3 linked regions of the Caenorhabditis elegans genome follow. The protein of the gene in region 1 interacts with the protein of each later gene in a pairwise test. Each region holds a gene or a part of one and is shown in the gene's direction. Other genes may lie near its edges. The genes, in order: cest-5.1, R03G5.6 and R11D1.3.

The links.
Region 2: the proteins of cest-5.1 (region 1) and R03G5.6 interact in a two-hybrid assay, tested with the Caenorhabditis elegans proteins (one large-scale study listed by BioGRID).
Region 3: the proteins of cest-5.1 (region 1) and R11D1.3 interact in a two-hybrid assay, tested with the Caenorhabditis elegans proteins (one large-scale study listed by BioGRID).

Annotation. Positions count from the first base shown.
Region 1 is NC_003282.8:6,627,697-6,633,452, reverse strand, and holds cest-5.1 (Carboxylesterase type B domain-containing protein), read left to right. Parts: upstream 1-1,698; 5' UTR 1,699-1,713; coding exon 1,714-1,924; intron 1,925-1,981; coding exon 1,982-2,088; intron 2,089-2,137; coding exon 2,138-2,246; intron 2,247-2,529; coding exon 2,530-2,625; intron 2,626-2,678; coding exon 2,679-2,823; intron 2,824-2,867; coding exon 2,868-3,065; intron 3,066-3,451; exon of another isoform or gene 3,452-3,473; intron 3,474-3,599; exon of another isoform or gene 3,600-3,659; intron 3,660-3,781; coding exon 3,782-4,032; exon of another isoform or gene 4,033-4,036; intron 4,037-4,084; coding exon 4,085-4,170; intron 4,171-4,215; coding exon 4,216-4,482; intron 4,483-4,802; coding exon 4,803-5,075; 3' UTR 5,076-5,168; downstream 5,169-5,756. Other genes in the region: C01B10.9 (Bis(5'-adenosyl)-triphosphatase), read right to left, coding at 1-214, 272-555, 614-802, 853-1,022, 1,072-1,197; cest-5.2 (Carboxylesterase type B domain-containing protein), read left to right, coding at 5,534-5,753.
Region 2 is NC_003284.9:7,805,042-7,810,885, reverse strand, and holds R03G5.6 (2TM domain-containing protein), read left to right. Parts: upstream 1-1,771; 5' UTR 1,772-1,800; coding exon 1,801-1,851; intron 1,852-2,065; coding exon 2,066-2,142; intron 2,143-3,487; coding exon 3,488-3,572; intron 3,573-3,638; coding exon 3,639-3,730; intron 3,731-4,053; coding exon 4,054-4,212; intron 4,213-4,681; coding exon 4,682-4,781; 3' UTR 4,782-5,257; downstream 5,258-5,844.
Region 3 is NC_003283.11:12,710,701-12,714,058, reverse strand, and holds R11D1.3 (DUF19 domain-containing protein), read left to right. Parts: upstream 1-1,959; 5' UTR 1,960-1,963; coding exon 1,964-2,098; intron 2,099-2,207; coding exon 2,208-2,340; intron 2,341-2,384; coding exon 2,385-2,722; 3' UTR 2,723-2,766; downstream 2,767-3,358. Other genes in the region: R11D1.4 (DUF19 domain-containing protein), read left to right, coding at 522-654, 699-1,024.

The DNA of each region.
Region 1 (5,756 bases):
TTTCCAATTCGCGAACTGTTTCGATAATGCCATCTTTCTGGAACTTCCTCTCTCCAATGAATATTCACATCATATCCATGCTCTTTCACTGCTGATGTTAAATTTGCATAAATTTGTTTTCCAATTTCATCCGAGTGTGGATAAATCATATGATCACCCATTTCGAATCCAGCGCCAGATACATAATCTTTCACGCACATGACATGTTTGTGATCTGAATTTAGTTTTAGGAATTATGAAGATTTTAATTTCAACTATTTTAAATTATTACCTTTAATTTCTGCATGTCCATGATCAGCTGTTAGGATAATATTCACATCAGCTCCCAAATTATTATCATCGAATTTTTTGATAAAATAAAGAAATAGATCGTCAAGTTTCTTTAATGTTTTCTCAATTTCCTTGTTATGAAATCCGTTTCCATGAAGTGTGTGATCGGGTTCTGCTACATACCAAGCGAGGAAATTAACAGGTTCCTTCTCTCGAATAAAAGCATCGATAACGTCGTCAGCGTCCTTCATCCATGATTTCAGATCACCAACAATTGTCCATGGCCTGAAAAACTGAATTGTCCAAGTACTACTTCTCGTTAAATAAACTTTTCTAAAATTACCTTGCAATTTTAGGCTTATGGGGAATATATGGAAACTGTGATTCTCCATTTGGCCAGTAAAACGCCGCAGATCTTCTGGAAGACTCCCATCGCTCGTTCGTAAGCCAGATGGGATCAGAATTGTACCAGAAACTCTCTTGTGATGCATTCACGACACCTTCTTTTCCGGTAGAATTGAAATAGTCAAATCTGAAAAAAAGAACGTCCTTTTTACATTTTCAAGCAAAAAAAAAACTAACGCTTTTTTGGTATCTGCATCGAAAAAGTAATTTCCGACAATTCCATGTTCTTCCTCGAACAATCCTGTGGCAATGCTCATATGGTTCGGCGCAGTATACGTTACGTACTGCGACTTCACTCCTGAAGTAAACCATGTAGACATTGACGCCCATTTGTGAATATTCGGTGTCTGAAAAATAAAATAAAAGTATTAATTCAGCATTTTCTGCAAATCTCACCAATACTTCATCTAATAAATCGTATCGAAATCCGTCAAATGAGATGAGCAACAATTTCGGATGTCTTGAAAGGCAAGAAACCACCGATATGGCGGAAAATAAAAACAATAGTCGTTTTATAAACATTTTACAAACATCCGGATTTTTGAAGGCCTAAAACCTGAAAACGGTGGCTCTTTGGTAATGGCAATCAGATACTAAAGCAAGATAACACGAACAATTTTTTTTTCACTAAACCATGAAAAACTATTGTAATCATTCGAAAGAAACCGCAGAAAAAGAAAAAAAATATGTGAAGAAAAATAAATACTCCAGTTGTCCGAGTGGAGTACACAACGCGTGGCTGAACTTTCTCCAATTCGCGACCCACGGCCGACCGAAGAAAAAGCGCGCGTGTTCAAATCTGAAAATAACTCGTTTGGCAATTTTTTGAAGATTTATCTTAAGATAAGTACGTTTAAAAATTGACATATATAAATAGAGTTATAATATCGGAATTATTGAGACAACTAAGCTACGAAATTTAAATTCCAGCAATTGTTTGTGTGATATGTCAATAAGATTCACTATCGTAGTCAGACTCTTATCAATTGAACTCAAAAATAATCGATTGTCTTGTTCACTAAAAACAACAGCATTCAAATGAATACTTTGCGCTTGTTACTGTTAATTTTTATAATTAATGCAGCAGATTCTCTGATTATACACACTTCATTTGGTCATTTGGAAGGTGCAGAGATAGGAGATTATCATTTGTTCAAAAAAATTCCATTCGCAAAACCTCCAGTGGGAAATTTAAGATTTCAAAAACCAGAGGCAGCCGGGAAATGGGATGGAATAAGAAGTGCTATTGGTGAGGTCTTATACCGTATTAAAGCCATATAAAGCGATTTTTAAATTAAAAGTTCAGAATATGGCCCAGCATGTATGTCGAATTCTTCTAAAACAAAAAGTCCTCAAAAATGGGTTGATGAAGATTGTCTACATGTTAATATTTTCACTTCAAAAAAGTGTTTGGCAAGTTACCATTTTAATTTGATAAATAAATTCCAATAAATTTCTTCAGAAGTCAAGAAATTGTGCAATAGCAGTGTACATTCACGGCGGAGGACTGACTTATGACAGTGCTGTTATGTTTAATGACACAGTTTTATTGGATACATTTGTGAAACGTGGTAAGGTAATTTTAATTATTATATTACACTATTTTTCCTATAAATCTTGCATCCAAGTTCCTCTACTTTGACAGCTCATTTCTTCTTTGTCTTAGGCATCAAGAAAGGTTTAATCAAAACATTTTCAGCATATAAAATTCGTCTCACATATTTGTTCATTTCTCAAAAGTTGAGCAACTTTTGACAGAGCAGGGGAGTTGTGAAAGACTAATAGGAAATTTCAAAAATATCTGTACACATTTTCCGAAAACATTGACACCTAGAAAATGCGTGTGTTTTTTAGATGTGATTCTTGTAATTCCTGGTTTTCGATTGGGCATCTTCTCGCATTTTACAGTACATAATCAAAATGTTGCTCCAAATAATTTGGCACTTTATGGTTTGCAACTGAAGCTGTAACAACAAAACCCCCGAATATTCATTTTTTTAAAGATATCACACTTGCCTTGGAGTTTGTTAAATCAGAAATTCACAGCTTTGGTGGAAATTCTCAAAAAATAACACTTTTCGGACATTCTTATGGTGGAGGTCTTGCGTCTATGATGACATTCAGCTCAGAGATTAATCGAGATTTGAGGTAAATTAAAATAAATCTTATTAAATATTTATTCAATTTTTCAGTCTATTTCAACAAGCAATTGTCATGTCTGGAGGTTTTTACTTTGAAGAATTGAAGGATCATATTGAAGGAACTAAGAGATTTGTTGAATATGCCAATTGTTCAGTTCCATTGAAATTAGAAAGAAAAATGGAAAGAAGTCAACAGGAAATGTACATGATGAAGTGTTTGCAGAAATTGAGTGGAATGGAATTATTAAGGTATTCTAGGTGTTTAATAAATCGACATCGTCCAAAATTTTTCAAACTTCAGAATTGTATACTTAGTTGAGACCTGGTAATGTAATTAAATAGTTTTAAAATTTTTTGCCAAACCCACATCAAGATGGGAACATAACGTTCTCTGAAAGATAGAAGTAATACAAAAATATTTCCTTGTTTAGGACTTTAAAGTCTTCAAACTAATCTTCAATTTCTATATATCAGCAAACGCTAAAAATGTTATGGGACTTTAATTCTGCCAGAAATTCAAAAAGTTGATCATTCGAAAAAGAAAAATCAAAACAGCTGTAAATAACGAACCTTTATGGAAATAAAATTTACTGTTTCATTATTCTTTTATCAGTTTTGTATTTATTTCGAGTGCATTGCATATGGATTAGGCGTCATGAATAGTATTGAATTTTTTCTCAATGTTGTGAAAAAAATGTGAAAATTTCCACGGAATTTCATGGTTCATTTAGAACTCTCAATTTGACATTTAAAAAACGTTTTTTTTTTTTGAAGAAATTACACTTTTTACTTATGGTTGTTCGATTTTTGTTTGGCAAATTTGATTTTGTGTTTCTCTAGCTGGTAAGGACTGATTGAAATAAATCATCGAAATTGGAACATAACGTTCTCTGAAAGATAGAAATATTACAAAAGGGTTTCCATGTTTAGGACTTTAAAGTCTTGAAACTAATCTTCAATTTCAGAATCCAAAGATTACTTGAAGATAAAGGTTATCCTGATTTTGGTGGTGTTATTCTTCGAGAACCTCTATTTCCTGATGTGAAGAAATTCGAACTATTGAAATCTCCTAAAAACATTCCAATGCTCACAGGTTGCACAAACCTTGAATTTGATCATGAATCTATCAAAGTTCCATTCGGAAAATATTTAGAGTTTGAGAATCCAGACGAATGTGATGAAAAATATCGAAATGATGTTGAAAGTGGTGTTGAAAGTCGGTGCGACTCAATTAATTTTTTTTCATTATTTATGAGAATAAGTTTTAGATCGAGGAAATCATACTGATAAAACACAAGGGATAATTCTTCCCCTAAAACTTCAAATAAATAATCTACTTGAAAATAATGTCACGGTTAGTTTTCTTTCTATCCAGAATTCATTTTCCATTACATTACAGGCATACCTCTACGAATACACTTATCCGAAACATGGTAGACATACCGATGATCTCTCTTATATAATGGGAGTTCATGCATTTGAAAAAGACGAAAATGAGGTGCATTTGGAGCAAGTTTATAAGGATATGGTTATTAATTTTATAAAGCTTGGAGAACCTGGAATGGGTTTCGAAAAGTCTGAACAGAATGAGTCCACTTATTTTGATATTTATTGGAACGAGACGACAGGAGAAAGGCCACGAATGAGAAAATATTTCGAAAAGGAGGTGATTTTGTAGAGATTTTCCACCATGAGGGCGCCTCTCTAAAACACAACCGTTAGTCTTATGTGAAATTTTCAATTTTTGCAACATATTTCTGTGTTTTTAATCATTCCATTTATCCGCCCTTACAGTGTCGTTTTCCGTGGAAATTTTGAATTTAGTGCTAGCTTCTTGCCTACGTTTGACCCAAAAATAATAATAATAAAACTGGCCGCAGCCTAAACCAAGTCTCGGCCAGATTTTGCCAATTTTTGATTTACCCCTGTGGCGCCCCTTGCTTCTAACTCAAACTTTACTGTTTCATCATCAACACTTAATTTCAGGTCACTGACTATTGGCTCAAGGAAATGATTGAATTTGATCAGAAAGTGACTGAAACAAAGAAGAAATTAAAACAAATATCTCTTAAAACTGTGCCATTCATAGAAAAGCCACTGGAGCAAAATGATGAAGCAGGAACATTAATTGGTGTTTCATTAATAGCCATTTCCATATTCCTTATTGGTTGTATTTTTGGAAGATATTGTTGTTTGAGACGACGAAATTTGTATATTCGATTGGATGGAAATAATTATGAAAACGCAGGAAACTTTTAGATAAACTGAAATAAACTGTTTTAATTTGTTTTTTTATGATTGCTTTTTCTAAATAATGTGAATCCTCAAACAAAATAAAACGATATCAACATATAAAAAACTGTTGGGTGATAAAATAAATTGCAACAAACTCGATAAAAAACAGACTAATAATAGTTTTAACATGTGTGTATGTACAAAGGGATTTTATGACTTTTGAGAATAAATGATTCACATTCAAACGAATTCTCCTTTACTTCGTGATTTTTTAATCAATCAACGCAACTTAGATGTCTCGACAATAATATTTTAACCAACAATTTAAAAAAAGTCAGTTTTTATTAAATATATTAGGGCATACATACCTACGTTATCACATTGTACATTGTGATTTGTTTGTTTCCCCATATTTTCTTGCTTATCAGGAGAGGCAGTATTGATTATCGCGAAGCAAAACAATTTGCACAATTGTTATTCAAATGTATTACATATCATCATCATCTCTATTTCTACTACTTTTTTCATTTCAATTCGTTTATCCTCGAATAATAAAAACATCCCTCGGTCGTCTAGAAGGAAAACAGTCAGGAAAATATCAATTATTCAGAAGAATTCCATTTGCGAAACCTCCGATAGGAACTCTGAGATTTCAAAAACCTGAATCAGCGGAAAAATGGAATGGAGTATGGAATGCAACCGGTG
Region 2 (5,844 bases), on another chromosome or scaffold:
TATCCCCACAAATGGTTCTAATTGTTTTTTATTTTAGTAAATCAAGACAGTTTACGTCAGAGCTAGCAGAAAAACAACTACGAACCATGTCACTTTTGATAAACGCCAAACAACATTTTCTCCGACAAAAACTAATTTAATTTGCAAACTTAAACTCATAAAGCGGAAATTCATTCTTAAAAAAAACGCACTGAGTGTATAAAATGAAAATACGCCCAAGAAGATTATCTTCGCGGCAGGATTTTTTGCCTTTTTTTGCTGCTGCCCCTCCTCACTGACCACCGCTACCAATCTAATTACGTCGATTGCGCTGTCTATATATTCTCAATCTCATTCTTGCAATTTGCTTCATGATTACTATCCTTATTGCAACAAGTGGTGCATATTTAGTTGAGTAAGTTGAGTTATTTTTCCTCAGCGCTTATTTTGAGAACCAAATTTGAAAGAAAAGTTATGAACATAGAACTAAAAATACTGAACGACAAAATAAAAAAAAAATTTTTGATAAAGAATTTGAGAATTGAATTATTATTCAAATACAGTGTTTAAAACTCAAATCTACGATATATCTTCAAACTTTTTATGGCAATTGTGTGTAAACTATACGAATTTTAGAAGTAAATTTGAATTTCATTCATTTCTTAAATATTATCCTTTTAAATAACGCTATAGCACACTTGATCAAAAAATATAAAAACTCCACGTTTCTATTTTCACAACTGAAATAAATTTATTTTGAAATTCATGCCGATAATACAAAATTGGCCTTTTTGTTACTCAATTCAATAATACGAACCATATTCTTTGAGTGAGACAAGAATCTCTAACAATTTTAATTCAAGATTAATCTCATGACTAATAAATCATCCGAATCAATAGAAGGGCAGTTTCAAAAATCGATAATTGAGGAGAATGCGGATTAACTGAATATAGCACATATTTTCAGTGAGTTTCCTAAAAAAACTTTATATTTATAAGAATAAAACTTAAACAAAAAATTACATTAAAAAAGTCCATGCATCAAAACAAAGTCCGCAAGTAGTCGTCACGGTGTACGCACCACCCGATACACCAAACTATACGACAATAGTCCTCCTCCCGTCGCCATCTGCCCTCTACGCTCACAATTAGTAAACACGAGGGAAAAGGGTGAAAATGTCCCTCTCTCTTACACCCAACACACGCACTCTAATGCATACACACAGAGACACACACACACACTTTCCCAGCCGAACATATTTTGAATTTTCATCGCCAAGTGAATTTCGACATAAACCCAATAGAAAGCAAAAACGTTGAGAAATAGAAAGAAAACAAGAACGAAAAAAAATATATTTGAGTTTATGACCCCTTCACAGCATGTTTTCGTCAGTGAGAAATGTGTTTGTTCCGTAGTTTTTTTTTCTTCTTTTTCCTGCTATTTTTGCTATCTATCTGTGACTTCTCCCACCACAACCAACCACTCATTCTGTTTTTTTTTGCCCTCTTCTCGTTTCCTCTAGAAAAAAAAAAAAAAAGTAAAAAAGAAAAAGTAAACGGAAAATAGAGAGCATGAGGAATAGAAAAGCAAATATCGGTTTTCATTTTATTTTATTTTTTATTTCTCTTTCTTCTTCTTTTTTTCACACACACACACACACACACAAATTCAAGCGACAAAATTGAAACTTTTATGTTTATTATCTTTTTTTTCTCCGAAACATTTTTAATCTTCTCGTCACCTTTTTGCCGATTCTCCTCCTTTTTCTGACACAATATTTTTATTCGTTCAAGATGGTTTCGCTTACAGGGGCATTGGGAATGCCTCCGTTTCGAGAGCGATTGGGGACGGGATGCACAAAGGATAGCAAGGTTTGTTTTAATTTCCTCTGATTTGACTACTATTACAACCACTCCCCCCTCCCCACCGGCGGATTACTTTTCATTGCGGTTTGCTGCCAAGACCACCCGAGCTTTGTGTACTTTTCTTTAGTTGTTTCTTTCATGCTGTTTCAAAATTTTGCTTTGTTTGAAGCATTTTTTGCTCATGTTTCGAAAGTAACTTTGACTGATTCTACATTTTCAGGACTCTGGAATCGAGTTGTTACCTAAAGCAAAAAAGCAACGAAATCGAAATCGACATCGAGCTCGCATGCAAACAAGGTTTGTTTATTTACTTGAAATTTAAAAACCTCCCACTTCAAAATTTGCACCTCTCAAATTCAAATTCAAACACATGTCGCCGCCGAAAGGTATAAGCATTGGTCTACGGAAAATCGATAACGCCCTCACTCCCCCGGGTTGATATTTCGCACCTGTACGAAAGCTTTCAAAGCAAAACATGTTTTTCGGCAACATTGAAAAACGATTGAAGGAGAAAAATAATCTCTCGAAAGTGTTGATCAGACAATTTTTAGTTTTTGTCGATGTTTTCACAGAATCGGAACAAACATGACAAAAGGGGAAAGTAAAGTTAACAAAAGTTGTGTAGTAGCTGAACCCCAAATATTTGTTAAAAGTAAACCGACGGCCATTGAGATTTAATCGAAATACTTTGACAATAATCTAATATGACCAAATATATTTCAAAATTTTTCGGCAAAATCAGGTAAAATGCCAATTTTTAATATGGATTTGTTTTTAGAAATTTCAAACATTGCTGATGGACATATAATGTTCAAATACAATTGATTAAAACATATTTAGAATATAAAGCTTAAAATTTAAAAAAAAGAGATATATTTTAGATTTCATTGAATATTTTCTGAAACTCAATATTGTAAAATTTTTCATCAGAAGTTGTTCGAATAGATTCAAAAAACTTAGGAATATTTTCTTAAAACCAAACCGACATTTGCTGGTATTATGATCATTTTTCTGGATCAAAAAGTAAATTAAAAGTAAAAAACGAATTGCAAAACGTTAATTAAATAATGACCTATTGCCATTGATAAACTTGAATTTAGAACATTATATTTTATGGAACGTCTTTGCAACTAAAATTTTTACAATTTCTTGTAAAAAATTGCTCGAATTGACTTCGAGATAATTTCGAGCTCTTTCACAATTACGACCTGGCATTTACGTGTATGTTGAGTTTTTAGGAACAATTTTTCTAAACCTTAGAATTTATAGGCACAAAGTTAAATAAACATTGTTCTATTGCTATGGATAAAATTAATTCGAACATTTTTTCAGAGCTACTAAATAAATCCCATCATTAAAATTCAAAGCAAAAAAAAACAGAATGTTTAAATGCCCAAAACCTATTTTAATTAAACTCAAAAATGTTGAAAACTGATGGTTTACAAAATTTTGTGAAAAAAAGAGAAATCAATCGTGGGCTTGATGGGTCAAAAAAGCACCGTCTATGTTTTTTCCATCAATCTCTCTAATTCTCGAATCTTTTTTCATCACACAAATCCCAACATACTCCCTCTCAATTGTTACAGAAACATTTTGCAACCGAAATAAGAGAATATCATCTCATCTCATTTTTTTCTTGCAGTGCCCGCAAGAAACCAATCAGTTCGATAAAGGAACATCTTGTTGACAGTCGACGAGAAGACGCCAAACAAAATGCTGAAAATTTGGTAGGTATCATCAAAGTGATACAAATAGATCAATGAAATTCAGAGTTCATTAAATTCTTGATTCAGGTTGTTTCCGGCCTCTGGCTGATCGTACTCTATTTTACAAACCTCACCTTTGGACTGCCACTTCAGATTCTGTGGCCAGCGAGAATAAATCAGTGAGGAGTTTGTATATTAAAAAATATAGGAATATTGTTTTATGAAAAAATTTGCAAAAAAAACTGGAGTTACCATAAGGTTGTAAAAATGATGCAAAAAAATGTTTGTGAGGGAGGAACTTTGGAACATAATATGAGGGCGTAAGTGCTGAGAAATAATTGAATTCGATTGAATTCGTAACAGTGAGCGTATAAGAAAATTGGATTTTGGATATTTGGGCGAATATAAACTTTGGAGTTCATCGAAAAGAAAGTTCAAAACACAACAATGGAAATTTCAAACTAATAGTGTGTTTCATTTCATTTATCCTTAATAATTTCAGCGCTGCCGTGGCTCTCAGCTATATGCTAATTGGAGTATGGGTACTATGTGCCCTGTTTTTCTTCATCTTCCGAAAACGCAGCAGTACTATGAAATGGTACAAAACCAACCCAAAAACGTATTACTTCGCGTGGATTGTTCAACTGATGGGATTCGCGTTGTGAGTTATATGTATTTGTATTGTTTTCTGATATTCAAATCAATGAAAAAAATTGTCAAATTTTTGAAACAACTCACAATTAAAGCAAAAGTTGGGAGAATCAATATTTTTGGAAAATATGAATCCTTTTTTTGTAGTTGATAGTTTTTTAATAATTTTTAAATGGTGACTTTGCGGGTATGATCATCATTTTGAAGTTGAAAAAATATGCACTTATTTTAGAAAATAATACAATTTTTTCTATTCCTTTTCTAAAATTACAAAAGTCTTAGTTTACTAGCAAAATTGAAATTCAACTAGCTTATTTCAGCTAAGCAAATTACGTGTCTATTAAAATTGCACCCAAAATCACATTTAAAAAGCCTTTCTTGTTTTAGCATTTACAGAATGGCGTTGCAGACAACATTAATGAAACGTGTATGCAGCAGTTTTGAAACATCTTTTTTTTTAAATAACCCATTTTTTCCAGATTCTGCATTTCTACATATCCCCAAATCCACCGTTGGAGTTACTTGGTCTCCATCTTCTACTTCAGCTTTTTTGCTACCATCAGCAATACTTTCCTGTAAACCATTTGACATGACAAAACGGTCCAATCTCTTCTCAATTCACTTTGCCCTCACACTCTCACCTCACCAAAATTCATTTTCCTGTGACTTATTACTAATTGTTGCCTTAAATCCGGTTAGCTACCGAGTTCCCAAAAAACCCAAATGCTTTTTTGTTGTTTATGTAAAATTTCAGGTTTCCCACTTGTTTCACTCAGATTCTTCGTAAGACTGTGTGGATAACACATACGTGCCTGACTCACACAATTGACCACGTGTTCTTTTGAACTAGATACTCTTCTTTCAAAAAAGCTTTCTCTTAACGCCCCCTCTCACTCTGAATCATCTTAGAATTTTGATCTCTTTCCCAAAAACCTCCCCGCCCACACAATTCCTCAATTCCGTTGGTAAACCTATTTTGCCTGTCATTTTCTTTTTGTTAATGCTTATTGTTTTATATTTCATAGTATGTATGTAGCAATAAAACATGACTTCTCAGAAAGTTTCAATTTAGAATAGCTCTTGAAGAACTTCCAACAGATGTTATGGTTGTCTTGATAGGGAATTTGACAAAGGTGCTCCGCAGGTAGACTCTGAAATAAACAAAGGTTTAGATTTCAGAGCAACGTATAAACAAAGGAAACATAAACTCACATCATAATGATGATCAACATTGAGTAGTGCCATCTCATCATAATGCCGCCATACTTCAACAAATAAAACATATGAGATAAATATCTATCAAATTAACATACCCAGTAAAAAAACTTTTCCCATTGCCGAACAAGTTCTAGCCAAGGAGATACTTTGAGTAACATTTGATTCAGACCATCCGAGTAACCACAAATAATGAAGTTCCACAATGCCTGAAAGTAAATCTAGATAACACACAATATTGTAGCACACCTGAAGAAATAAACCAAATGACAATCGATTATGATGTACCGCTAGCTCATTATACGTGGAATATGTCTTTCTCAAAATCATTTTCACAGCTATTCCAGAGACTGGGGTCACAATTAATGTTAACCAGTTCATTTGAAACAACACATAGGCAAAGTTATTTTGCTGAAAAAAATGACAA
Region 3 (3,358 bases), on another chromosome or scaffold:
ATGGCAAACTTTTGTGACTAAAGTTATAAATGGTTTTATTTACCAAAATTTTCAAAATTCGAATTTTTGGTTTTTTAAAAGTTATTTTAAATTTTTTACTAAAGTCAGAACTGCGTTTTTATTTTAATTGTTCGATGTCAAATAATATGGAAGTTAAACAAACAATATCCACATTTACCGGGAAAAGAGTATTCTTACATGTTTCGATATTTATATTTTTGTATGAGAATTATAACATTTAGCGAGCTAGAAAATAACATTTTATGGCACTGTAAGCTGTTGCGATCTCTCCATATTTGTACCGAAATGTGTTGAAAAATGCAGCGCAAGCATTTCGAGAACATTTTGAGTGCAACAGATAAATTGTGTTCGCTTGAAACCGGTCTAGTTTTCAAAATATTTACGAAATGCTCTGTGCTAAAAACGGTTCCAAAAAAATATACAAAGCCGAAGTTTGAGCTCGAAAAATATAATTCAACGAGTTCCTGAGACTACTTTTAAAAAAAGTTTTGAACATTCAGATTGCTATATGTTGCGAGAAGCAAGTCTATGCGACCCCTAACAACAACACTGCAATCAACCAAGAAGCGAAAAAATGTATTTTTGAAAATTCTGGAAACAAAGCTCTTCAGGCGATTGCACTTTATAATAACAGTAAGTTTCTTATAGATTTTGAGTAAAATATTAGATTTTTTCAGTAAATAATTGTCTCAGCCCAGAAACTCTCGATTCGGTACTCGAAGACTTGCAACCAGCAATATTGGCCAACTTAGCTGGTCTGCTCCAAAAACTTAGAACATCTCTAATCAATTGCAAGGCATCAGGAGATGCTAAACTAGAGACTTGTGCACAAAAAGTATATGGTCTCATATTGACAGAGTTAACTTTCAAATACGTGGATAACTTTTGCATTAAAATTGTCACCGAAAATGCGACACCAATTCAATGGAGTTGTGGCAAGAAATACCTTCCAAATATTCTCACTTTTAGTAAATATGAATGTTCGCAAAGTGTTAAAAACTAGTGGTTTATGTACTTTTTCTGTTCGTGTAATTATCATTGAATAAAAGTGTGTTGTTTGAAATTGTTCTTGCAATTTGTTATAATTTTTATTACTCAAAGGAAATTACGACAAATTCCACTTATGGTCCCCAACTTTTTCAATTAAATATTAATAATAATAGTTCCAAAATTTTTAGAAAAATTTCAAATGCCGTTCAAATAATAAAATAATATGTGGAAAATATACTATAGCTGGAAAGTAATATAAATTATTAAAATTATTTAGGACTAACAAATGATTAAATTTTCCTGAATTGTAGAAAAATAAGTTATAAGAAAATCGTTTTTAAAAATTTTTGAAACACTGTTTAATGTTAAAAGTAGCTTCTTATATTAAAAAAAAACCTGGTGAAACATCTAGTAATTGAAAATTTTTTTAGAATTTTCAGAAAAAAGTGCTTCTTTTTGAATTTTATAACTAGAAATGTGTCACTAAACAGTGTTACTCTTGAATTTTGCTTAATCTATATAGCTATCAAAAATCAATAACTGATAAAAAACATGAAGAAATCGTTATACCAATTAAGTTCATAATTGTTTCATTAGAGCATAAAAAGTTCTAGAACAATATGTTTAACCTGCACAGTTCATTTACCATAATACCAAACATATCACACTCAGATGAACACTTTTTAATCTCGCCATAATTCTTTTGAACTTTGATATCTTAAATGTCTAAACATCCAATATGTTTTTCAAATTCCATGACTATATTTTTTGGTCCCTGGTCTCTCACTAACACAAAATCTATGGTTTGTCACTGAAAAAAAGTAATCTAGAGCTTAAAATCAAAGTAACACAAATGGAAAACAATTAAAAAGTGGGATGATTCGAAAAAAAAGAGGAGACAGTCTGTATATAAAAACTATGATGATCTATGAATTTCTCATACAGTATCGCCATGAATCAGTTGACTAGTTTAATTCTCGTTTTACTCGTACAATATAGTCATGGAGCTACGAATCGTGACACAATGATGGATATGGTTACTCAAAAGTTAGGAGTTACATTCTACACATCTACTGAACTTGGAGTGGTGAGTTGTATACTTTGTATCTTAACTAACATGTTTCCAATTCTATTCAAATTTTTAGTAATCCTTTAAAACGCATTTGTCTCCTCAAAAGCTAACTAATTATTTTCAGATTGCAAAATGCTGTGAGACACAGTTTTGGAAAACTCCAAACAACAGCACAGCAGTCCTCGCAGAAGGCAAAAAATGTGTATTAAATAACTCAGGAAACAAAGCTGTTCAAGCACTTTCTCTTTACAGCAATGGTATGTTGGAAGTAATTCTCAAATCCTAACTGTAACCTTTTCAGCCAACAATTGTCTTAATCCTGATTCACTTGATACAGTTGTCACAAAATTGATTGGTCCAATTGAAACACTCACTGCAGCACTGGTGAAGAAAATAAAGGCAACCCTTAACGATTGCAAAAAGACGAATACACAACCAGCTGCAGCCAAACAGGAGACATGTCTTCAGAAAACATATGGAGTTGCAAAAGCTGCAATTACACTCACATACTGTGATGGGATATGTAAGAAGGTTGTGAACCAGCATGTTAGTGCAAAATGGTGGGGTTGTGCACTCAAACTGCTCCCTTCTGTGATGAATACGAGCAAATGGAATTGCTCGAAAATTGTTAAATCATGATTATTTTCCCTGATATGGGTCAGTCGAATGAAATCTTTAATTATATTTCACTAAAGGTAATATATTCATGTTTCTTCTATATAAAATTTTGTTTCAAAAAATTCAACTAAAATGAGTCAGTTAGATAAAAAAATCAGTTTTTTTTCTCAGATTGTTCGAAACATTAGAAACATTACTCAATTGAAAGTTTTGACGCCAGTTTGGTTCAGACTATTACAAACTATGAAATGTATTTCAAGATGCTCCCCTAATTCAGTTGCCTTATGGAACTGGCTGAGTAATTCTAATGAAATTTCGCTGAAAATGCAAGACTCTTCATTGTTTTCAATCAAATGATTTTTTAATTTTGCCTAACTTCATCGTTTTTGTACCGTCCTTCTGAGCTCGGTGAGCTCTCCAAACTGAGAAAGGATTGATGCACATCACCGTTGAGGCAACAACACATGCTTTTTCGTGGCTAAAACGTTTTAAGTTGCGTCTTTTAAGTTGTTCAATCATGCTCAATATTGTATTGTTATATATTTATCTTATATGAAGCTATATCAAAGAAAATTTACGGATGATGCGATGAAAAAAGACTCTCGTATAAGTAATCAAATGTGAATTCGGATCTTTCTCAATAAATTCCTAAATTTA